Linked DNA regions of Danio rerio. The protein of the gene in region 1 binds, or shares a complex with, the protein of each later gene. Links are inferred from orthologs where the notes say so. Each region holds a gene or a part of one and is shown in the gene's direction. Other genes may lie near its edges. The genes, in order: dgcr8 and erh.

The links.
Region 2: the proteins of dgcr8 (region 1) and erh are in contact, whole or in part, in a crystal structure (PDB 7CNC), measured with the Homo sapiens proteins. The link is inferred for Danio rerio from reciprocal best matches to the Homo sapiens genes DGCR8 and ERH. Residues at the interface, in NP_073557.3 of Homo sapiens: Lys107, Phe108, Ser109, Pro110, Asp111, Leu112, Leu114, Leu115; in NP_004441.1 of Homo sapiens: Val8, Pro10, Thr11, Thr18, Tyr19, Ala20, Glu27, Lys34, Met35, His39, Arg42, Met43, Phe60, Leu64.

Annotation. Positions count from the first base shown.
Region 1 is NC_133180.1:25,176,438-25,180,835, forward strand, and holds the start of dgcr8 (microprocessor complex subunit DGCR8), read left to right. Parts: upstream 1-1,568; 5' UTR 1,569-1,680; intron 1,681-2,420; 5' UTR 2,421-2,730; coding exon 2,731-3,420; intron 3,421-3,981; coding exon 3,982-4,144; intron 4,145-4,398.
Region 2 is NC_133195.1:36,361,526-36,365,886, reverse strand, and holds the start of erh (enhancer of rudimentary homolog), read left to right. Parts: upstream 1-1,376; 5' UTR 1,377-1,507; coding exon 1,508-1,510; intron 1,511-2,119; coding exon 2,120-2,207; intron 2,208-2,499; coding exon 2,500-2,620; intron 2,621-4,003; coding exon 4,004-4,106; 3' UTR 4,107-4,361. UniProt on the Homo sapiens protein: May have a role in the cell cycle.

The DNA of each region.
Region 1 (4,398 bases):
TGCCATTATAAACGTAAAGTTGTTTATTAATAATAAAGATAAAAGTTTCATAAAGTCATATGAAAACATTTGCATTTGCAGTGTTTATTGTGAAATGATATATAAGGATCTACATTAAACTGCAGTACATATACATTCTTAGTTTGATTTCTGTGTGAAACAGATTTGAATGTAACAGTATCTCCACATGTGCCCATATGCTTTCTGCAGTATAAACAAGACACAAATGAAAGGCAAACGTGAACTTTTTGAGAAACAGAGGAGGGTGACAGAATTTGATTACCCGTTTGCTGCCTCGTCTGATTAACCCTTGTGTATGTTCATAGCACAATACTTTCAAGAATATATACAAGTGCAGATGTGCTTGATTTATTTATTTTTTAAGTACCATTCATACAAGTAGATGTTGGGGCGTTGTAATTGCAAGTGTTAAATATTACAATAATTCACACACACATACAAATCAGCTTGCCTTGTATAATCTGCATTCAGATACTATTGGTGACTAATACACCCCTGCATATTTGTAACTTTTGGTAGACAAAATTATTGTATGACATTTTACATATACGATCAGTTTTGGGCAGCGATGCCCAAACTCAATCCTGAAGGGCCGGTGTCTTGCAGATTTTAGCTTCATCCACAATTAGACACACCGGAACCAACTAATCAAGCTTTTACCAGGTATTCTAAAAAGCTTCTGGCAAGAGCAAGTTGAAGCTAAATTCTACAGGACTTTGGCCCTCCAGAACTTAATTTGGGCAGCCCTGGTGTAAAGTACCTTATTGGACACTTTTAATGCTTCCAAACTGTTTGCTGTGTGTCTTAAGGTAGTTCAGTATGATGGGATTTACTTTCTATGTAGGCTACGGTTTGATTGGACGGAATTTTCTAATTCCCATAGATAGGAAAAAATAGAGTAGTGACTGCAGGTTGAAGGAAGTAGTGGAGTAAAACACACACAGCACTAATGTACTCAAGGGAAGGTACACATTGTTAAAACTATGTAGTAAATTACTAATCCTGAGAAAAAAAACTACTCAGAGTAATTTGAGTATTTGTAATCTGTTACTTTACACACTGTATACGACATATATTTTATATTTGAAATCCAAACACGAAATTGTATATCTTTTATACAGTGTATCACATAGGCTACATAATTTGCATATTAGATTTGAATAGGACATTAGTAAATCAACAGATTCATTGGAAAGATTCGACTCAACGACTCGTCAACAAAGTTTGGCATGTTTGAAAAACTTGTTACACGTGTATTCATGTTTTAACAACTACATAATGACATAAAATTACACTCGAGTGTGCTCTCACATTCACAAAATTCATTCTTACACACTTGATAAATGCAATTTTGTGAGTGTTGGGTAATGCACGGGTGTAGTATTTATTTCATTTCCCCAATAATCACACAAATAGTATCAAGACTTCCTAAATTGCAATTCAGCGACATCGGAAGCAAGTTTCTTCAGTAAATATGAATCAAGCCGATTGGGCCAATCACATGTGCGTGGGCGCCGGTTGAGAGGCGTGTTCAGAAAGATCTGATGCTGCTCAGCTCTGCAGTGAAGATGGCGGAGAGAAGACACGGCCATCTGAAGCCAATCAGCAGAAAATGCCTATGATTGCATGCTGGCTTCAGTAGACGCGTTGTCTAATTGGGTAAGTAAAAGAAAATCGTTTGCTCAAACATCAGTGATATTTTCTCCTGCCGACGTTAATCTTTATCGCGCATGCTTTGGTCGAAAAGGTTCGGTTGGCGTGTACGATTCATTCTTATACCGTATAAGGACTCACTAATCGAGTCTTCGACTGGTTTCTGCCGAACAAAATAAAAAGCTTGAACAAACCTGGTTTAATAGCCGAGCAATGTGACGTTAAATTGTAGTTTTTAATGTCGTGAGGAATTGCAGCCATTTTGTTTAGCTTCGCTTAGCCGACAATTTAGCAAGGGCCTTTGGGGCTTCAGCTTGTTATGATGCGTTTTAAATACAGTGTTTATTTTTTAGGCTGTCATGTAGCTACATCACACTACAGTATAGCAAATAAATACACAGTTAATATGAGGTAATGCCACTTCGTTATGCGTTGTGATGAGTTAAACGTTGAAAATGCAGAGTTTTGCACTCTTAATTTGCTCTTCCAATATAAAATTAGCATTTAAGACCTGGAAATGTTTTATTTTGTTTGTAATTAGAGCTAAAATGCACCATAAATGCATGGCTTGATTTTATTTTTAAACTAAATGCATCTTCCTCAGTGTTTCTGTGTTCTTTAAATTATCGTTTGCATTTACTTAATTTCAAAACCTAAAGAAACTATTCATTACAAGTCAGTTTTAATGTGCCATAAAACTTTTTCCCAATGTCTCTTGATTTTTCTTTTTCCTTTCTCTTTTTCAGTACTGACAGAAGATCTGGCCTCCTGGGATGGACAGTGCTTAGATATGGGAACCATTTAAGCTGAATGCATTGTGATTTCCAATAATTGAGACAGTAATTTCTAAAAAGCTGTCTACATTAATGAAAAGAACAATGTAGTCAGCTTAGCATATTCAACCATGTACATGACTATTACTAAATAGGAGTTTCAAGCTTTATAATGTATACATGCATGTGTTAGGGCTGCAATTGTTTTAGTTAAATCGGGCACATCTCTCCCCAATTGTGTTCTTGTATCAGTTTTAGCATAGCTATTTTTAAGAAATTAAATATGGATGTAAATGAGATTTTACCTCCCCTCCCATTGGAGCCACCTGACGCAGTATTGGCGGGGAATGATTACAGTAAAGCACCTCCACCACCTCCCCTGCAAACGTCCAGTGACGCAGAGGAAATGGACGTTAGCTCTGGTGGTGATGGACACCAACACACCCCAGCAGTGGACAGGGACGAACAGCTTCTCCTCAACAAACGCACATTGTCTGTTAGTAGCCGCCCATCAGATAGTACTGACCCCATGACTACTTGCCCTAGAACCGCTCGCCATGCTCCCCCTGTTACCAAGTTTTTACCTGATCTCAAACTCCTCAGAGACGTAAAGATCAGTGTCAGCTTTTCGGACAGCAGTAAGAGCAAAGACAGGAAGGTGTTGTACACTGGTTTTGGGCAGGTTAGCGATGAAGATCAGAGCCTAGAGAGCATAAACGGAGAATTGCATGATTCTGTAATGATGAGAAGCGTGCCTGGCAGTTCAGCTATGAGCACTGGCTTCATGGGTTTAGCTAGAACTAGAGAAGAGCTGGAGGCAGAGCAGGAGAACAAGGTTGAGTTCGCTGTGCTGGATGACCTGGAAGATTTCAGCGAGAACTTTCTGGAAGATGGAGAGCCAAGTGCTTTCAGGTCTCAGATGATAGTTCAGCAGGAGCAAGTGCACGAGGAGGACCTGAGTTACTCCTATGAGGTAAAATGCATGGTTTGTTACGATTATAATTTCCTCTTTGTTAAAGGGATGGTTCATCCAGCAATTAGAATTTACTCTGCCTTGAGTTTTATCCAAACCTTTAAGTTTCTTAATACTGTTGAACAGTAAAGGTGGTATTTTGAGTACTGAAAACCTGTAGCCTTTGATTCCTTAATAGGATAAACAACTACGTTGGAAGTCTGTGGTTACAGGTTTCCAGCTTTCTTTAAAATATCTTGTTTTGTTTACCAGAAGAAACTCAAAGGTTTGAAATAAACGTAAATGATCACAGATTTGTCTTCGGGATGAACTATGCCTTTAAATTGAAATAATGCAGACTAATTAAAGATGTTCATCATATAAAACATGTACTGAATTGTGCGTCATATGCAGATATGTGTTTTTCATTCTTCAACAAGGATCCTGGAGTGTAACAAGGTGGCTCATTGAAGAACATTTGAATCACAGCTCATAAAGTGGGCTTGATTCAAATCTGCTTCTTGGTGTATATCTAGTTGATGTTTTAGTGGGTGCTGGTTACTAACCAATTTGCTCTTCCAGGAGGACTTTGACAATGATGTAGATGCCCTGTTGGAGGAAGGCATGCCCATGCCCAAGAAGAGGCGTGTGGCTGAAGACAAATATGCTGGAGACAGTGATCACCATTCAGACGGGGAGGCCGGAGTTCAGCCTATGATGACCAAAATTAAGACCATTCTTAAGAGTGAGCCTCAGAAACCCTTTGTTAACTTGATTCAGAAGTCATCAAGCATTCTTTCTAGCTACACTGTTAAAATTTTTAGCAAGTTTGCTTTATTGTCCCTTGACGTTTTGTAATTATTTTTGAGTTCTATTTATTGATATAGCATGTGGCCACAAGGCCACACAAAGTGCATTATAGAATAGATACAAACAAGCATGGACATAAGCAAAACTGCAATAGGCACATAAAGAGGGGCTTATAGGCCCAATCCCAAT
Region 2 (4,361 bases), on another chromosome or scaffold:
CATTTAATAATGTCAAAGAGGTTTAATATGTATTAAATAGATTTTTTAAAACTTACCTTTTCATGAGTGAGTACATATTCTGTGCCTCTAAATGTCTTTATTTAAATTTCTTTCATGTTTCTTCTGGTGCAAACAGCTAAATTGCTAATAACTACTAATCTTGTCATGTAGCATGTTGTTAGGGCATGCGGTTACAATGTAACCTGCTCACCTAATGTTTACACTCGTAATATTTATATTATTTGCAAATTAATAACCTCATGTGGAACTGAATCTGCGTCTCATTCCAGAGTCTGCTACTTTCTCACGGAGGTAGCGTTGTGGTCATGGAACCATGCTTTGAGAGCCTTTCTGAATGAATGAATGAGTTACTGAATGAATGAATGAATGAATGAATGAATGAATGAATGAATGAATGAATTGCTCCGTTTTTCACCAAGGCAACCCGGGGTGCTAAAATATAATCTAAAGTTGCAATAGGTGGGTTAAAATAACCAAAACAGAGACAGACGTTCCGGCACATAACTTACATTTACAAAGCAGAATATCTGACTTTAACATTGTTTTTCAGATAAACAAGAATGTTCATGTGGCATGTTTACTAAACATCTGCAAACATATTATAGTATTTTTATGCTTTAGAAGAGTCAAAACATACAGTACTTTTAAACTACGATTTAAAGGCTTATCAAAAGTTATTTATTAGTTTTACATTCGACAAGTTATCAAGACAAGCAATCAATCAAAAACAAAATGCTAATAATTCACATCTATATCACAAGTAAGCTAATAATACTGACCCTAAAATTATTATTATTTTTTTATTATTAAATTAAAAATATATATAAATTAGGTACAAATGTGTGACAATAAGAATTTATAATTTTGTAAACCATTGTTACAGATATAACATTTTGATGATAAAAACTATACTATGTATTTGTGATGTAGGTTAAAATTACAGGATAAATAAAATAAAATCATTAAATTATAAAAATTTAAATATAGAAATATTTGTAAATAATATTGTAAAGCCTATTTCTAATATTTAATTTTTATTTATGTGTGTGTGTGTGTGTGTGTGTGTGTGTGTGTGTGTGTGTGTGTGTGTGTGTGTGTGTGTGTGTGTGTGTGTGTGTGTACGTGTGTGTGTACAAAATTTAAACAAATATTTGTAAACAGTATTGCAAAGTCTTATATACATCGTTTATCCATAAATAATAGTAAATAGGCTGACTTCTTTTTCACTTGCAGTCATTTGAATATTACATCAAAATAATGAATACAAAATATGAAGTAAAAATTATAAGTAATGTCATTAACGACAAAAATAAATACCATTTCCGTAACAGTGAAAAAGCTTTTATCTTGAAAAGCCAACGCTTCGCCTACACCGGAAGTGTGATCGTTTCTTGAACATTCCTGCTGTTTCCTTCGCTGCTAACAGTGAATAGCCGTCAGTGGTTACCCCAGCGTTCAACGCCACTTTTATACATCAGGACCAGATATGGTAAGTATTTTGTCGATGTTTTTTCTACTCGTATATATCCTTAGACAGCCACCATATCAGAAAAATCGCGTTTCACCGACTGCTCCAACACATTCAACAAAAATAAAAGTGAACGAACGCGCGCGGCTAGCAGTGTGTTACGAGAGAACGTCGAATAATCCTCAACACAGCGAGCTTTCATGTGTCTCGAAATACCACACATGCAAAGTTAGGTTCTTTGTTGAAAGTTCGACCGGAACAAACTCCTGTTCAGCTTCAGTATTGGTAATATCAGTGTTTGTGAGGAACATGTAGTGTTTTAGTTTGGGGGAGGGTTCGAGTACAACAGCTGCTGTTTTCTGGGTATTGTGTCAAAGCATCCATATCAGCTAACGTTATATTCCCAAAGTGTATTTAGTTCATACGTCAAACATGAATAACTAAACAACACGTCATGTTTTTGAAATGAACGCACGATTAATCTCACTGTCAGGAGCCAAAGCTGTGTTCCTGTCAGTAGGGGGCTCCACGCAATTGTTTAATTCGTCGTCTAGATATGTAGTGTTTCTAACTTTTACTTGATTTATGATATAAACACAATAAAATGTTTTTTTCTTTATTATCGTTCAGTCTCACACAATTCTGCTGGTGCAGCCCACCAAGAGACCAGAAGGCAGAACATATGCAGATTATGAGTCTGTCAACGAATGTATGGAAGGTAGGATAATTCTTTTCTTTGTGTGTGTTATAAACAATTATAATGCTTTAAAGGGATAGTTCACCCAAAAATTGAACTATTGACCATAGTAGAAAAAACAAAAACTATGGAAGTCAGTGGCTTTAGGATTTCACCTCTCTTTAAAATGTCTTCAGAAAGTAAGAAACTCAAACTGGTTTTGTAACTGTGAAGAGAAAACAAATTTTTTTTGGGGTGAACTATCTTTATTGTACACTGAATATTGCACTACTACTTTTAATGCGTGTTTAACCATTTTCCTTCTTACCAAAAGGAGTGTGTAAGATGTATGAAGAGCATCTGAAGAGAATGAATCCCAACAGTCCCTCCATCACATATGACATAAGCCAGTTATTCGACTTTGTTGATGATCTTGCCGATCTCAGCTGTCTTGTGTAAGTAATCACACTTTTCACTTGACAAAGCCTAATGTCTAAGGTCCCGATTACACTAAAAAGTTTTAGTTTTAAAACGCATAAGTTTTGCTACAGTGACGTCTTCCGTTCAGATTACCCCAGAGTTTTAGATCATTGAAAGCGGAGTGTTTTGGAAATGCTGAAGAGGTCGCTTTTGTGTTAACCCTTTAACTGTCTGCTCTATCAAATGGTTGACCATATTTTGATTGTTTTAAATTAAGGTTTACACAAACAGCATTGTTGCTTTACAAAAAATCTAACAAACATAATCCTCTTGCACTACTACACTTAGTTTTGATTTTATTGTAAAAAGCAAAAAAAAGAAATCTTGAATTATTTAATAATAAGAAATATTGTATGGCATACTTAAAAAAATAAAGATGATTCAGTATTTAAAATGTTTTATTTAAATTGTTTTAAAATGAGTCATATTGTTATAAATTAGTCTTACACTTCATGTTTTTAGAATTTTTATAGTATGTGTATTGATTCTTAGTACTTTTACCATAAACCAACATATTATCCACTTGGTAGCGGTTGATATTTTTAAAATTATGGGATGTGATGGGGAAAAAATGCATCGAGTGTGTTAACTTTAGAATTTAAGAAATGCAATCCCAAGAAAAAGTTCTTGGTGGGGAAGTTAAAGTGTTAAAATACTGCTGAAAAATAGAGGCTCAAAACGGATCGGATTCAGGCCTTTTCCCAATATTAAATGCAATATTAAGTTCAGTCTTGCATCCTTTCCTTGAAAGTTCAGACTTTGCAAGTTTTATATGGAAAACTACCTCCTGAGGACACGTCGGGTAAATTTTCAATGGGAACAGTGTACTTTATAACAATCACAGCGTTCATATAGTCATTCATGTCACTCTGACTACGCTGCTTCACTATCTTAAAAAATCAATGAAAACATGATATAAGGATTTAAATAGACACCAAAAATGTTCAGGCATCGTATAGCTACATACTTGTATTACTGTCATCTTCACAGTATGCATATTTATAAGAAAACGGAGCCTGTAGACCCATAGGTTTCCAACCTTTTTTGCCTGAGACCCCCTTTTCTGCTGGAAAATATAGTGAGGCCATCCTCAACATTTAATGATATTATCGCTCATATAAGTTTGCAGTAAGGATGACAAAAAATGTTGCTTTCAAAAAGACTGTATGACTGTATCTCAAAAAGACTGTACTATTATCTCTCCTCCTTGGCGAAATTCTAGGCAAATGGCCAGTGTGGATGTGGATAGTTTTTGTTGTTAATTGCCGTTTTAAAACTAAAACATATCGGTGTAAACAGGGCCTATTAAATGCTCATGCTCGTCAATCATGTACAATTGTCTTTAATTATTTGAACAGGTACAGAGCGGACACACAAACCTACCAGCCTTACAACAAAGACTGGATCAAAGAAAAGATCTATGTGCTGTTGAGGCGTCAGGCCCAACAGGCTGGAAAATAAAGACGGTGGAATTATTGAACTAGTCCCCAACTACGCTTCATCACAGGACAGACGTGGCTGAACTGAACAGTGAATTGATGCCAACTGGTTCAGATTTTGTTGAATGCATGTCCTTTGAGTTATGTCAAAAGCATAGAGTGAAAATATTTTGCATTTTAAATCACATTTTTGTAACTTCGGAGTTCGGGACTTGGGTTATTTATCGGGCTAGAGGGTAATATTGGGGAAAGAAAAGTTTTAGGATTTTTTTCGTTG